2 linked regions of the Elephas maximus indicus genome follow. The protein of the gene in region 2 purifies or fractionates together with the protein of the main gene of each other region. This does not show direct contact. Links are inferred from orthologs where the notes say so. Each region holds a gene or a part of one and is shown on either strand. Other genes may lie near its edges. The genes, in order: YWHAE and USP43.

Region 1 (9,075 bases), about 9.3 Mb from region 2:
CAAAAGTAATTTATGCTGACCCCTCTACTCCCCAAAATGGGAAAAGTACTCATTCTTTTTTCCTTTCTAATATTCTCCACTTTTCTTTAACATGGTTCATATACACAAAAGGTAAGACTTGGTTCAGGAATGCTGAGAGATGGATCAACTTGCTTAACATTACTACTACTAAGATAAAAACCTATTCCTTAAGACTGTTGCCATCAAGTGGATTCTGATTCATGGTGACCCCATGTGTTATAGAGTAGAACTGCTCTATTTCTTTTTCTTGGCTGTAATCCTAATGGAAGCAGGCTACCAAGCCTTTAGCCTACCAGTCCAGCATTGCACCAGTAGTTTATTCCTTAAGCTACTGACTTGTTAAAGTGACGGGATGGGGGATTTGATCTCCAAGGTGAACAATCTTATTGGCCCCAAACTTCAATATTTTCTAACCGCAACCCGAAATTGTCCTTTTCCTGTACAAAGCTTAGCTCCTCCTCTAGTATCGTTAAAAAAAAAAATATATATATATATATAAATTGATTCCAATCTCCCAGGATAGGTAAGTAAGGCTAAAAAGGAGTTTAGGCATTAAACTCAACACAGCATGCAAAATACAGAAACGAGGAGAAAAGCACGGACTATTGGGAAACCAACATTTATATCCAAGTACCCAGAAAACAAATCACTCAAATGCATCCTCATCTTTTCCTACTCCCCACACCTGGTAGTAAACTTTGTTTGGTGACCAGGACTATGGGATCATTTTTTGTTACCAGACACAAAACTGAATTCACTGCACTCAATAAAGGAAACCTATGGCGCTACAGGAAACCCTGGTGGTGTAGTGGGGTTAAGTGCTACGGCTGCTAACCAAAGGGTCAACAGTTCGAATCCGCCAGGCGCTCCTTGGAAACTATGGGGCAGTTCTACTCTGTCCTATAGGGTCGCTATGAGTCGGAATCGACTCGATGGCACTGGGTTTGGTTTTTGGTTTTTTAGCCTCTAAAGGGAAAGCCTGGTGGGATAGTGGTTAAGAGCTGCTAACCAAAAGGTCAGCAGTTCAAATCCACCAGGCACTCCTTGGAAACCCTATGGAGCAGTACTACTCTGTACTATAGGATTGCTATGAGTCGAAATCAACTCGACGGCAGCGGGTTTGGTTTTGGTTTTATGACTCTCTAGAGTCCCTGGGTGGCAGAAACACTTAAGCACTATTAGCTGAAGGTTGGCAGTTCAAACCCACCCAGAGGCTCCTTTGAAGACAGGCCCAGCATTCTGCTTCTCAAAAGTCACAGACTTGAAAACCCTATGGATCATTCTACTCTGCACACATGAGGTCCATCATGTGTCAGAACCAACTCTACAACCAACAACAACAACATGCATCTGTGGATACAGGTAAAGACAGGCTTACTCCTGTTGCACCTTCCTCCTCCTCTTCCTTTCCACTGATTCTTAAGCTCCCAATTGTCAGAGTTCTCTATAGTTCTTCTCCACATTGTAGGTCCTATGTCCCTCCCCTTTAGATTCTGAAAGGGAAATCTAACATTTGAACAACGTAATAATGTGGCTCTATCAAAAGCATTCTATGTTGAATAACCAATAAAGATCTTGCTTTTAAATCCTCAGCACTCAACTCCAAAATACAATTATCATTAAACTATGATTTGTTTGGAAACTACAATCATGAGTTTCCCAATCCGTTTCAAAAAAAAAAAAAAAAACCTCCACATTCTTTTTGTTATCACATCAAGTTTACTCACAGCCTAAATCTCTATACAACCGAAAGTATTCAAATATAATGTTAAGTTTCCTCGCAAGGGCACTGGTAGATTAAGGGTGAAACCGATCTGGGGCACAAGGCGGGAAAAAACAACTCCGTTACAAGTACACCTACATTTGTTTGAATTTTAAACACCGAAATAAAGACAAACTGACCTTGAGCTGTACTTCTCCCGTTTTATTACCCCTCCCCCTTCCAAAAGGAACCTCGTTCAATACCAATAACAACTTAAAGATTTACAAGAAAAAATTCAGTGCAGTGTCTTTCCTAAATTTGACTTCTGGAGGCCTTCTCCCTCTAATTTTTAAATCCCTGATTTCTAATTTCTAATGACACAGGGGGACTAGCCCTGACGCTATTCAAGAAACCAAGGGCCCTACCTTACATTTTAAAAAATAACTGGCTTAAGTACTTGAGAAGAAAATTTCGAAAAATCAGTAGCTTAAGTAATTACGAGATGGGTCAAGGCATTTGACTCCAACCACGTCTCACCCCGCCACACGCCCCCCCGCGAAAAAAAAACATTAGAAATAACCTATTTGTGTAAGACCACGTAATGCTGGTTTTTAATACAGTGCAATTTAATGGATGTACGGGTAACAAGTACCTAGGTCCAATGTGTGATATGTGGGTGTATGTGAAGGGGAGGGGTGGGAAGAGGAGTTATGTTGAAAAGGAAACTGCCTGGGACTAACTGAACAGACACAACGGCCATTCGATAAAGTTCTGAAAAATTACTAAAGAACCTTTCAGGACAAAGAAGCAATAAACAGAAGAGGAACTGTTCAAAACTGTGCATAAAACCATTTAATTCATATGCAAAAAAGAAAATACAGACTCTCCTGGAATCGCCTAATTCAAAGACTCAAGCCTCAGTTCTGCGCCTGAATCAGGTTAAGATTTCCAATAAAGTAAAACACGCATTCCAAGCTTGGGGACTCGACCAAAATACGGCTACTACACATCATTTTAGATAATTTCGTTCAACAGAAGATCCTTCCATTTGTCATAACGGTGCGTTCGTGAGAACGGGGAAGCCATCATTTTTACAAACTGGTAAATCGAGGCACAGGCATTACAAAACCTAAAACTGACAGTCATGATCTCCTCGCCTCCTGTTTAATGTCCTATCCACTAAAACCCAGTGTTTCTGGAGCCAAATGATACCAGGAAACTTCGAGCTCTGAGGGATAAGCCTGAAAAAAGAGAGTATGAGTGAGATTTTTCTGGACCTCCCCAGAACAAGAAGGCGAGGCAGATCGTAAAGCCCAAAAAACCCTCCTCCAAGGTGTGCCAGCCGACGGGAAGAAATCCGATCGCAGCATCTCAGCTTGTCTCCGCCCAAAGATGAACTGCAGTGATTCCCATCTCCCCCTACTCTCACTCTCATCCAGGACTACACCCCCCACCACAAGCCCAAGGAAGCCCTCCACTCGCAAAGGTTCTCCTTTGTGAGACTCCACAGCCGCCGCCCCACACTGGGCCTCCGGGGAAAAGCCACCGCCCCCACCCGCCATATTTCCCTCAAAGGCGCCAGCGCTACAGCTCCCAGTCTCCACTCTCCCCCATGTGGCGGGCGTTTCTTCCCCCATCACCCCAACCAATTGTTCTCCACATCCCAAGACTGTCCCAAAAGCTCCCCTGGGGACTGCACGTCCGGAGACAGCACCCGAGATCTCCTCCCCCTCCCCCGCCCCGAGACTCGCCCTCCCCCAGCCGCCATTTTACAATCAACTCCTCCACCCTATCGCCTCGGCCTCCCGGTCCGCGAGTGGCTACAACTGAGGACGCCGAAGGGGTCAAATTCCTGGGCCTGGAGCCTTCCATCGCTCCAGGAGCCCATAGGCCATTTCCTGCTTCCCGAATCCACGTCCCCGGGCCAGGCGCGGAGACGATGCCGCCATTTTGTCTCCTCCCGGCCTCAGTGGGCGGCGGCAGAGGGTCCGAGAATTCCAGCCCTCCGCTGCCCCACCAACTCACCGTCGTATCGCTCAGCCTGCTCAGCCAGCTTCGCCTGGTACACCAGATCCTCCCGATCATCCATAGCGGCGGTGGCTCAAGCAGGGTCTGCGCGACGGATGGAAGCGGATAGCGTCTCCGACTCTCTCAGCCTCTCGCTCCGCGTCCGGGCAGCAAAAATGGCGGCGCCTCAATCCGGGACTTCCGCCTGCGCACGCGGACAACTGCTCAGCTCTATGGTAACCGCTCCCTGGCAACTGGCGCGGGGGGGCGGGTCCTGGAGATCACCGCCAGAAGAGGCTGGAACCCTCGAGACGGCACACCTCTGTCGGCTCAGCAGGCGCTGGAGCGCAGAGGCGGGAACGCTGACTGCTGGGAGGGAGGACGGTCCGCGGGGATGTAGGGAGGCGGGGGTCGGGAGGCGAAATGGGCCTGGACCGCACCTCGAGGGAGCCGAGGGACACGAGCAAGTCGAGGCCTGGACTACGGGCAAAGAAAACGAGAGGCCATAATGGTTTTGATCATTGCAGGCCTTTGTCACCGAAATAAATATGCCCTGTCCTACATTGCCACTCCTACATTGCTCCGTCCCAGAGCTTTTGAGATTCCTTTAATCCCAGTGTAAAGAGTTGGGCCCTGCTGTGTTTGGCCATAGGATCCCTGGTGGCACAGTAGTTCAGAACTTGACTGGTAACAGGAAGATAGGCAGTTTGAATCCACCAGCCGCTCTGTGGGAGAAAATGTGATAGAATCAACTTGACGGCAATGGGTTTGGTTTGGTTGGCAATAGGCGGAAGGGCTTCCAATTCTCACGCTGCTTGGAAGTGCCTAGAGAGTGCATATAGAGCTAGAAAAGGACCAAACACAAAACATTGGAGAATTCCTACATTAAGGTAAGTGAAAGCAGAGAGGAGCCAGCGAAGGAGACTGGGTGGCTCCCTATGCATTCCAAATTATGTCACTTCACACTCTTACCCTAATTTATCAAATTCCAATGATAAAAGACTGAGGCTCAAAAGACTTGGGTTCTAGTACTAATTGTGTTGTTGTTACTAGGTGCCCTGGAGTCCGTTCCTACTCATAGCTACCCTATGCACAACAGAACGAAACACTGCCCGGTCCTGCGCCATTCTTACAATCTTTGTTATGCTTGAGCTCATTGCTGCAGCCACCCTGTCAATCCACCTCGTTGAGGGTCTTCCTCTTTTCTGCTGACCCTGTACTCTGCCAAGCATGATGTCCTTCTCCAGGGACTGATCCCTTCTGACAACATGTCCAAGTATGTAAGATGCAGTCTCGCCATCCTTGCCTCTAAGGAGCATTCTGGCCGCACTTCTTCCAAGACAGGTTTGTTTGTTCTTTTGGCAGTCCATGGTATATTCAATATTCTTCCCCAACACCACAATTCAAAGGCGTCAACTCTTCTTCGGTCTTCCTTATTCATTGTCCAGCTTTCACATGCATATGATGTGATTGAAAATACCATGGCTTGGGTCAGGCATACCTTAGTCTTCAGGGTGACATCTTTGCTCTTCAACACTTTGAAGAGGTCCTTTGCAGGAAATTTACCCAATGCAATGCGTCTTTTGATTTCTTGACTGCTGCTTCTGTGGCTGTTGATTGTGGATCCAAGTAAAATGAAATCCTTGACAACTTCAATCTTTTCTCCGTTTATCATGATGTTGCTCATTGGTCCAGTTGTGAGGATTTTTGTTTTCCTTATGTTGAGGTGTAATCCAAACTGAAGGCTGTGGTCTTTGATTTTCATTAGTAAGTGCATCAAGTCCTCTTCACTTTCAGCAAGCAAGGTTGTGTCATCTGCATAACACAGGTTGTTAATGAGTCTTCCTCCAATCTTGATGCCCCATTCTTCTTCATATAGTCCAGCCTCTCGGATAATTTGCTCAGCATACAGATTGAATAGGTATGGTGAAAGAATACAACTCTGACACACAGCTTTCCTGACTTTAAACCAATCAGTATCCCCTTGTTCTGTCAGAACAACTGCCTCGATCTATGTAGAGGTTCCTGATGAGCACAATTAAGTGTTCTGGAATTCCCATTCTTCGCAGTGTTATCCATAGTTTGTTATGATCCACACAGTTGAATGCCTTTGCATAGTCAATAAAACACAGGTAAACATCCTTCTGGTATTCTCTGCTTTCAGCCAGGATCCATTTGACATCAGCCGTGATATCTCTAGTTCCACGTCCTCTTCTGAAACAGGCCTGAAATTTCTGGCAGTTCCCTGTCAATATACTGCTGCAGCCGTTTTTGAATGATCTTCAGCAAAATTTTGCTTGTGTGTGATATTAATGATATTGTTCTATGATTTCCACATCCGGTTGGATCACCTTTCTTGGGAATAGGCATAAATATGGATCTCTTCCAGTCAGTTGGCCAGGAAGCTGCCTTCCATATTTCTTGGCATAGACGAGTGAGCACCTCCAGCGCTGCATCTGTTTGTTGAAACATCTCAATTGATATTCCATCAATTCCTGGAGCCTTGTTTTTTGCCAGTGCCTTCAGAGCAGCTTGGACATCTTCCTTCAGTACCATCGGTTCCTGATCATATGCCACCTCTTGAAATGGTTGAGTATCGACTAATTCTTTTTGGTCTAATGACTCTGTGTATTCCTTCCATCTTCTTTTGATGCTTCCTGCGTCGTTTAATATTTTCCCCATGGAATCCACTATTGCAACTCGAGGCTTGAATTTTTTCTTCAGTTCTTTCAGCTTGAGAAACGCCAAGCATGTTCTTCCCTTTTGGTTTTCCTTCTCCAGCTCTTTGCAAATGTCGTTATACTACTTCACTTTGTCTTCTTGAGAGGCCCTTTGAAATCTTCTGTTCAGGTCTTTTACTTCATCAATTCTTCCTTTTGCTTTAGTTGCTTGACACTCAAGAGCAAGTTTCAGAGTCTCCTCTGACATCCATCTTGGTCTTTTCTTTCTTTCCTGTCTTTTCAGTGACCTCTTGCTTTCTTCATGGATGATGTCCTTGATGTCATTCCACAACTCGTCTGGTCTTCGGTCACTAGTGTTCAGTGCGTCAAATCTATTCTTGAGATGGTTTCTAAATTCAGGTGGGATATACTCAAGGTCATATTTTGGTTCTTGTGGACTTGCTCTGATTTTCTTCAGTTTCAGCTTGAACTTGCATATGAGCAATTAATGGTCTGTTCCCCAGTTGGCCCCTGGCCTTGTTCTGACTGATGATATTGAACTTTTCCATCGTCTCTTTCCACATATGTAGTCAATTTGATTTCTGTGTGTTCCATCTGGCTAGGTCCATGTGTATAGTCGCTGTTTATGTTGGTGAAAGAAGGTATTTGCAATGAAGTTGTTGGTCTTGCAAAATTCTATCATTCGATCTCCGGCATTGTTTCTATCACCAAGGCCATATTTTCCAACTACTGATCCTTCTTTGTTTCCAACTTTCCCATTGCAATCGCCAGTAATTATCAATGCATCTTAATTGCATGTTCGATCAATTTCAGACTGCAGCAGCTGATAAAAATCTTCTATTTCTTCATTTTGGCCCTACTGGTTGGTGGGTAAATTTGAATAATAGTCGTATTAACTGGTCCTCCTTGTAGGCATATGGATATTATCCTATCACTGACAGCGTTGTACTTTAGGGTAGATCTTGAAACGTTCTTTTTGACGATGAATGCAACACCATTCCTCTTCGAGTTTTCATTCCCAGCATAGTAGACTGTATGATTGTCCAATTCAAAATGGCCAATACCAGTCCATTTCATCTCTCTATGCCTAGGATATCGATGTTCATGCGTTCCATTTCATTTTTGACTATTTCCAATTTTCCTAGATTCATACTTCGTACATTTTAGGTCCTGATTATTAATGGATGTTTGCAGCTGTTTCTTCTCATTTTGAGTTGTGCCACATCAGCAAATGAAAGTCCTGAAAGCTTTACTCCATCCACGTCATTAAGGTTGACTCTACTTTGAGGAGGCAGCTCTTCCCCACTCATCTTTTGAGTGCCTTACAACCTGGGGGGCTCATCTTCCTGCACTATATCAGACAGTGTTCCACTGCTATTCCTGAGGTTTTCACTGGCTAATGCTTTTCAGAAGTAGACTGCCGGGTCCTTCTTCCTAGCCCGTCTTAGTCTGGAAACTCAGCTGAAACCTGTCCTCCATGGGTGACCCTGCTGGTATCTGAATACTGGCGGCATAGCTTCCAGCATCACAGCAACACACAAGCCCCCACAGTACGACAAACTGACAGACACGAGGGGAAGTACTAATTCTAAAAAAAAGAAAAAAATTCTAGGACTGAATAAATGTATGACCTTCAGCAAGTCACTTCACCTCTATGAGCTTCGAATTCATGTGTAAAGTGAAGGAACTGGATCTGCTGACCTTTTCCAGCTCTGTAGAACACGTCCTAGCAATTAAGACTATGGCCTCTGCTCTTGGATTCCTTGGGTTCAAGGGCTACTTATTGCGTGTGCAATGGAGGCAAGTCACTCACCTTCTTTAAGCCTCAGTTTTCTTACCTATAAAATGGGAATGATATTTTCCTCATACAAATGAGAATCAAGTGGGCGGTTACCTGGAAGATGCCTGATACTCAATGAATGTTAACTATGTATTATTAATGTTTCTGTGGCTCAAGTTTGAGTGAGAATCAGGAGACATTAGTGTCATAAAACAAGTGAGAAGAGTTTCAAAAATAATGAGGTGGTCCAAACCAAACCTGTTGCCATCGAGTCAATTCTGAATCATATGGCCTCTATAAGACAGAGTAGAACTGCCCCATAGAGTTTCCAAGGAGCGCCTGGTGGATTCGAACTGCCAACGTTTTGGTTAGCAGCCATAGCACTTAACCACTACCCACCAGGGTTTCCAAGGGTGTGGTGAGTAGTATTAAATTCTGCAGAGACATTAAGTAAGACTGGCACTGAGGAAAAGCCATTAAATATAGCAATTAGGTCATTATTGACCTTCAAGAGCAGTTTTGAAAGGGTGTTGGAAGCTAGACTACATTTGGTTCAGACCCAAAGAAGGTGAGGAAATGAAAGCAGTTAAGTGTAGAGCTCTCTTGAAAAGCATAGCAGTGAAGAGATACCAAAAAAGACGTTGCTGTAGAGTTGATTCTGACTCAAAACCCAAAACCAAACCAGTTGCCGTCCAGTTGATTACGACTCGTAGCGACCGTACAGCATAATTTGGGAGAAAGTGGCTCTGGTGGAGCAATGGTGCAGAGCTCAGCTTCTAACCAAAAGGTCAGTGGTTCGAATCCAGCAGCAGCTCCAAGGGGAAAAGACCTGGAATTTTGCTCCCACAAAGATTACAGCCTAGGAAACCCTATGGGGCAGTTCT
Region 2 (9,244 bases):
GTTAGCAGCTGAGTTCCAAACCGCTGCACCACCAGGGCTCCCCCCCGGCCATAGTGCCATGTGTTTTCCCTTTCCAGCATTGTCACCGTGTGCCTGTGTGATCATTTAATTAATATTCATCTCTCCCACGAGGAGTCCTGGTGGCACAGTGCTTAAGTGCTTGGATGCTAACCAAAAGGTTGGAAGTTCAAACCCACCAGCCACTCTGCAGGAGAAAGATGTGGCAGTCTGCTTCCGTAAGGACTTACAGCCTTGGAAACACTATGGGGCAGTTCTACTCTGTCCTATAGGGTCGCTATGAAGTCAAAATGGACTCTAAGGCAATGGGTTTTGGGTGTGGTGTCTCTCCCACTACATCGTAAATTCCCGGAGAGCAGCCCCAGGATCTGGTTTTCTACTTATCACTCATCAGTATTCCATGCTCTGGGCACAGTGTCTGGACACCCCATAAATATTTGTTGAATGAAATTAATGTTTCCTCATCTGTAAAATATGAAGAACCCACCCAGATTTCAATAGGAAAGGTTTTTAAAAACCTGGATTGTGGAATCCTCCAGGACTGGCTACTCCAAAGCCCCAGGAAACTCCAGGTTAGGTCACCCTCATTAACATGTTAACTACTAAAAAAAAAAAAGGTTAACTACTAAGTTACACTTAATTCCCCAAGGTTTGAAGGGAGCTTCCAGGCCTCAGGGACTTGAGAGCAGAAGATAAGAAACCCTGGTGAGTCACCAAGGGTCATAACCTGGAACTTTTTTTTCAAGGTACTCCAGCCTCTCCCATCAAGGCAGTAATTGGATGGGACTGCATCTGGCAAGAAAAAAGCAACACAAGGAATACCTCCCTCCCTCCTCCAGGTTTCTGCAGGTGAGAAAGTATATTCATAGTGACAATAACAAACACTTCCTGTGGACCAGGCACTGTTCTAAGTGCTGTACATATACAACTCATTCATTATGACCCAATTTTGCAGATGAGGAAAGTTGAGGCCTGGCCAAGTTTAGTAACTTCCTCAAGATCACAAAGCTAAGGAGGGCTCTAGGATTCCAGCTATAACCACTATACTGTCTCTCGCACTAAAAAAATAAAATAAAATGTTATCCAAAAGAGGCATTAATGACATTTGCTTGATGATCCACTGACTACTCAGAACACTACTTCGCTAAAGACATAGGAGAGAGGAAGGTGGGGGCTGGCCTCCTTCTGGGTCACAAGGGCTGCTTTCTCAGGCTGAAACTCAAGAGCCCTAATGCCTGTGGAATGAACACTGACAGGTTCCCCCCTCCCCCAAAGAGCAACAAGCACTGGTCTGTGGGCAGCTTCTGCTCTCTGCCCGGGCTGTGGTTTTCCAGCAGGAAGCCAGCCATGGGCATCCATTATCATGAACTCTACTCCAAACAGACCCAAACGCTGTGTTTTACCCTGGGTGACGTAGTACAATTCACAAAGCCTCCTCCCTGCAGCATCCGCAGCAGGTCGACGTGATCCTGGGGTCACTGGATGCAACCCCATGCTAACACATAGTAGGGCATCAGGCCAAAGGATGTCATCTCCAAAATGGCGCACCACTGCCTCTCCTGGGCACTCAATACAGTGCCTGGCCCACAGTGGGTTCTCAGCTTCCACTGGACTTAGAATAAAATTCGAACTCCTTACCATCGCCTCCATGACCGTACTGGCTCCAGCCACCCTCACCTCCCTCCTTATCCCCCTTAGCTCCAGAGACAGGAGTTTTCTTTCCTGCTTCCAGTACTCAGCTTTCCTGGCCTGTACTGTTGCCTCTCCTGGATTACTCCCTGATCTTGGCCTGGCTCCGTGCTTCTCATCACTAGGGTCTCAACCCACCTCCTTCCTCCCAGGCCTTCCATGAACGACTCCCCGCTCCCCACCCCTGCAGACCGGAAGCTCCGTCACTAGCATTACAACACTGTCTGGCCCATAGGCCTTCGACGCTTCAACAAATCTATTTGTTAGATAAACTCAGAGCCCCCTCTCGGACCTCCCCACCGCGCCGCCGCTCAAAATACCTGGGAGAAATTAATTCACAAAGAAAATACAGGCAAGTGACAAAACATCAAACTAACTCAAGACAAAGGCGGTAAGCGAGGCTGAGCTGGTCCTTGCCATCTGAAGAAGGCCCAAGAAAACCCTTCCCTGAACATGCACTTCTCAAAAAGCGAAACCAGAAGGGCCGGCTCGGGGCTGTGGCCGCACGCTGCCTACCTTGAACTCGGCGGAAAGTTGGGGCGTGTATTCGCGCGTCCAGAGCGCGCGCACCAGCGCCGCCAGCTGCTCGGTGACCTCGGCGCGGCCCGGCGCTGCCCGGTAGCGTCCCAGCGCCAGGAACTCGGCCAGCAGGTCGGTGTTGCTGAGGCACTGCACCACGGCGTTCATGAAACAGGTGTTGCCGTGGTTCTTCAGCCCCTGCGCGCCTGGGGGCCGCGCCCCGTCGCCAGCGGGGAGCTGGGGCTGGGGTCTGGGCTGGCGCTCCTCCCCGGGGCTCCCGGGCGCGGACGGAGCCGGGACCCGGGCGTGGGCAAAGCCCCCTTCGCCTTCGCCGTTGCAGGATCCGGGCCGGAGCGGCGAAGCCCCCGGGCGGGCGCGGCTGCCCAGAGCCAGCAGGAAGCGGCTGAGCAGGCGGCGTAGGGAGCTGCGGCGGCGGGGCAGGGGCGGCCCCTGTGCGCTCGCATCCCCCGGGCCGGCCAGTTCCGCTCCCGGGTCGGGGTCCATGGCTCCCGCCGGCGCGGCTCCCCGCGCAGAGCCCACGGGCCCGAAGCGGGCGAGCGGCTAACAAGCTCTTACAGACTCGGAGAGGGGCCGGGGCGCCGGCTACCTGCGGGCCAGGTGTGCGGGAGCGGGCGGGGGTGGAGCTAAGGGCAGGGCTGCTCCGCCCCTCGGGGAATCCGGCCCCAAGGCCAGCCCCGGGCTGTGCCCGGCCACCCTACTGCGAGTCGCTGCTGTCACGGTCCCAACCCTTCCTTACCTCTGAGAAGCCAACGAACCTGGGTTTAACCTCTGCCTCGGTTTCTCCGCCACCATAAACGGGGGGGGGAAAAAAAAAAAACCAAACCCGTTGCCGTGGAGCCGACTACGACTCAGAGATCCTATAGGACAGAGTACAACTGCTCCATAGGGTTTCCAAGGAGCGGTTGGTGGATTCGAACTGCAGACCTTTTGCTTAGCAGCCAGCTCTTAACCACTGCGCCTCCAGGGCTCCTCCCCTACCACGGAAGAATGATAAACTTGAAAGCCCCTAGTAAATCGCAAAGCCAGGGCTATTTGTAGGCTTCTTGAAATTACGTCCAGGTGAATGAAGGAAAAGGGGAGATGGCCTTAAAAGGGCGGCCTCAGGAGCAGTGAGAGAGGTGCACAGCTGCGAAGGGTGGGGAACGTTTCAGCGACTGCTAGTTCCTCCGCAGACTCAGGTGTGTGCGGGCACGCTGCCCCCTTGGAAAAGAGCCTTCGCTCTGCCGCGCCCTCCTGGGATCAGACCTGGGAACCGCGTGTTACCCACTGAAGAATCACCCGGGTGGCTGTGGTTTGTTTTTGGAAGTACAGACCAAATCACTCATTGTCCCTAAAACTTCCAAGTGAGACTTGATCGTCCTCGTTCTAATTGGTGGAGAAACGGGCTCAGGGAGGTTTAACTTAGCGTGCAGGAGCTCAGCTCCCGGCTGAGCACGAAAGCGGAACTGGAGCCCGGTGCTGCGAACTGCCCCGCGCAGGCCCTTCCCACAACCTCGGTATTAGCTCACCAGGAAGTTTTCCGGCTCTCAGGCGCGCCCCCTACGCGCTTTCCTGTTCACTCCTTAACACGAAATCCTTGCTGAGTCGTCATCGTATCAGAATGAGTTTGGCCTTGCCCGGCCCTTGATTCCCTGGGTAACTCCGGGGCCTCTGCTCACATCATCCTCTGTCAGGTTTATAATTAATCAGGCAAGGTCTTGCAAAATGAATTTCTCATCACTTTTTCGCTTAAAAAGAGATCACCAGGATGCATATTACATCAACGCCCTGAAATGTTGCTTGTTATTTAATAAGCGAGCATCCTTTATTAAATATCCTTCTTGGTATTTCAAATAGGATAGCGGCAGTTTTCCTGATGCAAAAAAAAAGAAGTACTCGTTGAAGAATATTCTTAGAACAAAAGATTGTGAGTGGAGTCCTGAGGTGTTTCTGGAAAACTGCCTTCATTTACCCTGTCTGGAAAAAAACGGTCCCTTCCATCACCTCTCTGGTAGTAAGCATGGAAGAAAGATTTTATGACCGTCCCCAACAAAACATCTCTGAAATTCCATCTTTGGTAGTCACCCCAAGATTCCTAACTGTCATAGATTGAATTGTGTCCCCCTAAAATTGTGTCAGCTTGGCTAGGCCATGATTCCCAGTATTGTGTGGTTGTCTTTCATTTTGTAACCTGATGGAGTTATCCTCTGTGTTGTGAATCCTAATCTCTGCCTGTGGTAAGCGAGGCATGATTAGGTTGTGTTAAAGAGCATTAGGGTGGGATGCAACACCCTTACTCAGGTCACAGCCCTGATGGGATGTAAGAGGAGTTTCCTTGGGGTGTGGCCTGCATCACTTTATTTTACAAGAGATAAAAGGAGAAAAAGGTGAGCAGTGAGTTGGGGAGCTCATAGCACCAAGAAAGAGGTGTCTGGAGCTAAGCGTGTCCTTTGGACCTGGGGTCTCTGTGCTGAGAAGCTCCTAGACCAGGGGAAGGTTGATGACAAGGACTTTCCCCCAGAACTGACATAGACAGAAAGAATTCCCCAGGAGCTGGCATCCTGAATTCAGACTTCTAGCCTCCTAGATTGTCAGAGAATAAATTTGTTTGTTAAATCCATCCACCTGTGGTATTTCTGTTATAGCAACAACCAGAGAACTAAGACAATAACAAACACATTTAACTTGCCAACACAGAATAATTCACATTTCAGTCTATACTCTGTGCCAGGAATTCCACTGCTGCTTTTAACACATTATTGTTGTTCTTGTTTTTGTTAGTTACCATTTAGTTAGCTCCTGACTCATGCTGACCTTGTGTGTAACAGAATGAAACATTGCCCAGTCCTGCAGTCTTTGTGACCACTGGCATCCTTGAGTCCCTTGTTGTGGCCATGGTGTCAATCCATCTCATTGAGGGTTTCCCTTGTCTTCGTTTGCCCTCCACTTTACCAAACATGATGTCCTCCTCCAGTGACCCATCCCTCCTGATGACGTGTCCCAAGTAAGTGAGTTGAAGTCTCGGACAACACTCTGTGATCCACAGAGTTTTCACTGGCTAATTTTTCGAAGTAGATCTCCAGGCCTTTCTTCCTATGTCTTAGTCTGGAAGTTCTACTGAAAGCTGTTCACCATGGGTAATCCTGCTGGTATTTGAAATACTGGTGGCATAGCTTCCAGCACCATAGCAACATCACAGTATGACAAACTGACAGACAAGTGGTGGCTTTAATACATTGTATCACTAAATTCTCACAATAACCTTTTGAGCAAGAATTTATTCTCACTTTACAAAAGAATAACTGAGGCTCAGAGAGTTAAGAAATCTACCCGAGATCTGGATTCAAACCCAAGTCTTGCCCCATGCAGCTTGACTACTGAAGTGATGATTAAGAATGTAAATTCAGCCCGCCTTAATTTTAGGGGGTAATAGCAATGCTATCCGGGGAAGGGCTGGGGCTTTTCCACAGAAAAGAGCTGATGACAGGGAACAAACAACTCGGATTTAGTCACAATAGAAAAAAACGCTGTTTTAATTAGTCTAGATATACCATTCTTGAGCACATTTCAATTTTAATATAAAATTTATGAATGTGAAATGCATTCTACAAGGGAAAGGAGAAAATTAGACGTAAGATAGTTGGGCTAAGGAACAAAAACACAGGCATGAGAAATCCAGACCAGTCTTGGAGTGACCTAAGCTCAGCCTTCAACACAACTGGGTGAGGCGGTGGCTCCAGGTGGTCCAGGCTGCTTCATGAGGCATAGGGATACTTCCACCTCAGGATGGCTCCGTCGCCACTTACGCTGACAATGTATTGGTTGCCTGGGCTTATCCGGATGCGTGTGATGTTGCCACTATGTCCCACTCCAACATGAGTCACTTCACCCTCGTTATAATCCCAGACTTTCACCAGGTGGTCATTTCCACCTGAAAAAGACAAAGTTATCTAATAATGCGGCAGTAGTGCCTGGATGGAGAGAAACAGCCCTGATTTCAAATAACTGGATTGTTTTCTAAACATTCTTCGTGTTTAGACGAACACTTTCCCCTGATTATAAAAATCTATGCCTGTTGTAGTAAATTTGGGAGGAAAAAAATACAAAGAGGGTAAAATCACCCTTAAACTCACCACCCAGAAAAACCATAAATAACATTCTTGGTTTAGTTCCTTTCAGTCTTTTTTCTCCAAGTGTTGTTGTCGTTGTATGCCGTAGAGTCGATTGCAACGCATACCCACCCTATATGGCAGAGCAGAGCTGCCCCACAGGGTTCCCTAGGTCTTTTCTCCCTCGTGGCCTGGAGGGTTCGAACTGTCGACCTCATGGTTCCAGCCGAGCATTTGGCCATTGTGCCACCAGGGTCTCTTTCTAGAAGTGTACAGGTAAGCATATACAACTGTGTGCCTAACTGGAATGACACTCTGTCTAGTTTTATAGCTTTAAGTTAATATATTTGTGACGCGTTAACTCATTTGGAGCATTTACTTCTTAATATCTTGGAGGATCAAAATGCCTGGCAAGAAACAACGTTGATATTGTTCCAACTGGCATGTTTTGTGATAAATGACCCCTTGAAATGCTGATTTATTCATTTATTTTGGTGGAGGGCATAGTGTCATTCCATAATAAAAGTGAATAAAAAGACTCACATTTAAGGCTTTGGCAGGAAATAAAATAGGAAGGCATCTGAATAGACCAGGCCATTTAAAGTTCCATTTTTATCATCAGTGGCCACCAAAGAAAAGTAAGCCCACAATGGAAGGCTGATCTTTTTGTGTGTCCCTAATGTTCCTGTGCAAACATTCCTGTCTTTGAAAGGCAACTTTTGGATTTTTCTTTTCCAGCCATGTTAGCTGCAGTGTTCAAGTCCGAGTCTAACCAGGTTGCCCTTTAGACCCTTTTGTGGTCTCTTCGACTTGTCTCCCACCTGAGATTCCCATGTTCCCATCTAAGGAAGCCAAGCCTGACGTTTTTTTCTGATCCCAAGACTAACCTGTAACAAAATGCACTCCTTCCACTGTGATATCCATCCCATTTATTGACCCAGACAAGGAACCTTCCAGCTCTCTGATTACCGACCCATCAAATACTTCCCAGTAAGCAATCTGGAATTCAGGAAAGAAGCATTAGGCAGGATTCAGCTCAGTGGGATGGTCCACGCACAGGTTCCCAGAAGATGGCTTGACTTTATATAGAAGGTAGTAAAAATACACTGAGGGGTGAGATGGGCTGAAATTATAAATAGGCAAAGGCAGGGGGAGGAGAAACCATTACCCTATTTTTGTATTTGTTTAATATTTTGCATTCTATTTCAAGAGATGTTGATATGCTGATAAACCTGGATTGGGGCAGAAAGTGCTTTTGATAAGACTAAGGGGATTGAGTCTGAAGCAAGCTGTAAAAGAAAGAAAACAGCAAAGGCACCCGGGGTTCCAGCTTTTGTTCTGAAACAGAGCCAGGACAAAGCATTTCCTTCCTTCTGATTGGGGAATGAGCGGTCTGGAGAGTTTCAGGAGGCAGGGCCTTACCAAGTCACCTTCCCACTGTGGCTGGATTCTCCCTCTTCCTCCATCACCACCACCGATGCCATCAAGTCTGTCTGACTCATGGCGACCCTGCATGTGTCCGAGCAGAACTGTGCTCCACAGAGTTTCTAATGGCTGATTTTTCAGAAGTAGATAGCCAGGCCTTTCTTCAAGGTGCCTCTGGGGGCCAGCCTTTGGGTCAGCAGCCAAGAATGCTCGCCATTTGCACCCCCCAGGAACTCCTTCCTTTTCCTCACCCCACCCTTAGTTCAACTCTTTCCTCTTCCTTGAAGCAATAAAGCATTCAGCAGGGTGGGGTTTAAAGACAGTGATAACATTGGACCCCTCCCCAGGAGGGAAACTAGGATAGGGAGGCTGGGAGAAGGGCCGAATGGAAAGAACTCTTTCTCTGAATATACTGTTGCTGAACTTTGAAACTTGTGAATATACAGCCTACTCAAAAATAAAACTTCTTTCTAAATGAAGAGCAGGTTGACCAGGAATCAGGAGTGTTGGGCATGTATTACCCCACTTATCTTTGCTTCATGTTGGTGGAAACATGCTGTGTTCCAGCCCTTGTGCTTAGAAACTGTGCTCTTCTGAGCCTAGCTACAAACTGGGTATCCCACTTAAAGTATTTTTTCCTTATAATTTCTACTGATGCTTAAGTTGCTTTAATAAAAAGTTCTGTTTTCATGGTAGAAACACAAAGAAGTATATGAGAACATACCAAAATCCATGCTTCTGAGGAGTCACACCCACAGAAGTAGCTGGGGCTTGACTACCTGCCTTCCATGGCAAGGAAGTCAAAGCCACGCTTTCCTCGGTAACCCTATCAGGGGCTCAGTCTTTCTCCAGCTTCCTCTGTCTGGGATGCTCTTCCCTTGGATCTAAGGCCTCAGTCAAATGTCACCTCCTTAAAGGAGGCTTTCACCCCTGACCATGCTAGCTAAAGGAGCTTCCCCCCACTCAGCCAGTGCACATATAACTTGTTCTCTTTCCTTTTTGGAGTTCCCAGGTGATACAAACTCTTAATGCACTTGGCTGCTAACCAAAAGGTTGGAAGTTTGAGTCTACCCAGAGGCACCTTGGAAGAAAGGCCTTGTGATCTACTTAAAAATCAGCCACTGAAAACCCTGCGGAGCACTGTTCTACTCTGACACACACTGGGGAGCCATGAGTCAACTTTGACTCAACAGCACCTGCTGTTTCCTTTTTAGCCTTTCCACCATCCATATCGTCTTGTTCATTTATTACTCATTGTTCACTCATTTATCCATCTACATGTGTATTGTCCAAATCCGTCCCCTCCCACCCAAAATAAATGAGGAAATAAATAAAGTAAGCAAGCTCCACAAGAACAGGGACATTGTCATATCCCCAGCACCTAGAATAATGCTAGGTTTACCGATTTATTCCAGACTACAGACTGAATGTCCTGGTGAAAGTTCTAAATTCCAATAAGAGGAGAATAGACCGTTCATGGAGGT

Evidence for each region.
Region 1: the proteins of USP43 (region 2) and YWHAE purify together in Homo sapiens (affinity purification with mass spectrometry; 3 studies listed by BioGRID and IntAct, with this or other methods). This does not show direct contact. The link is inferred for Elephas maximus indicus from reciprocal best matches to the Homo sapiens genes USP43 and YWHAE.

Annotation. Positions count from the first base shown.
Region 1 is NC_064837.1:20,285,089-20,294,163, reverse strand, and holds the start of YWHAE (14-3-3 protein epsilon), read right to left. Parts: upstream 3,932-9,075; 5' UTR 3,813-3,931; coding exon 3,749-3,812; intron 1-3,748. UniProt on the Homo sapiens protein: Adapter protein implicated in the regulation of a large spectrum of both general and specialized signaling pathways. Binds to a large number of partners, usually by recognition of a phosphoserine or phosphothreonine motif.
Region 2 is NC_064837.1:11,020,757-11,030,000, forward strand, and holds the start of USP43 (ubiquitin carboxyl-terminal hydrolase 43), read right to left. Parts: upstream 3,630-9,244; 5' UTR 2,731-3,629; coding exon 2,224-2,730; intron 2,204-2,223; exon of another isoform or gene 2,085-2,203; intron 1-2,084. Other genes in the region: CFAP52 (cilia- and flagella-associated protein 52), read right to left, coding at 5,982-6,157, 7,223-7,334. UniProt on the Homo sapiens protein: May recognize and hydrolyze the peptide bond at the C-terminal Gly of ubiquitin. Involved in the processing of poly-ubiquitin precursors as well as that of ubiquitinated proteins.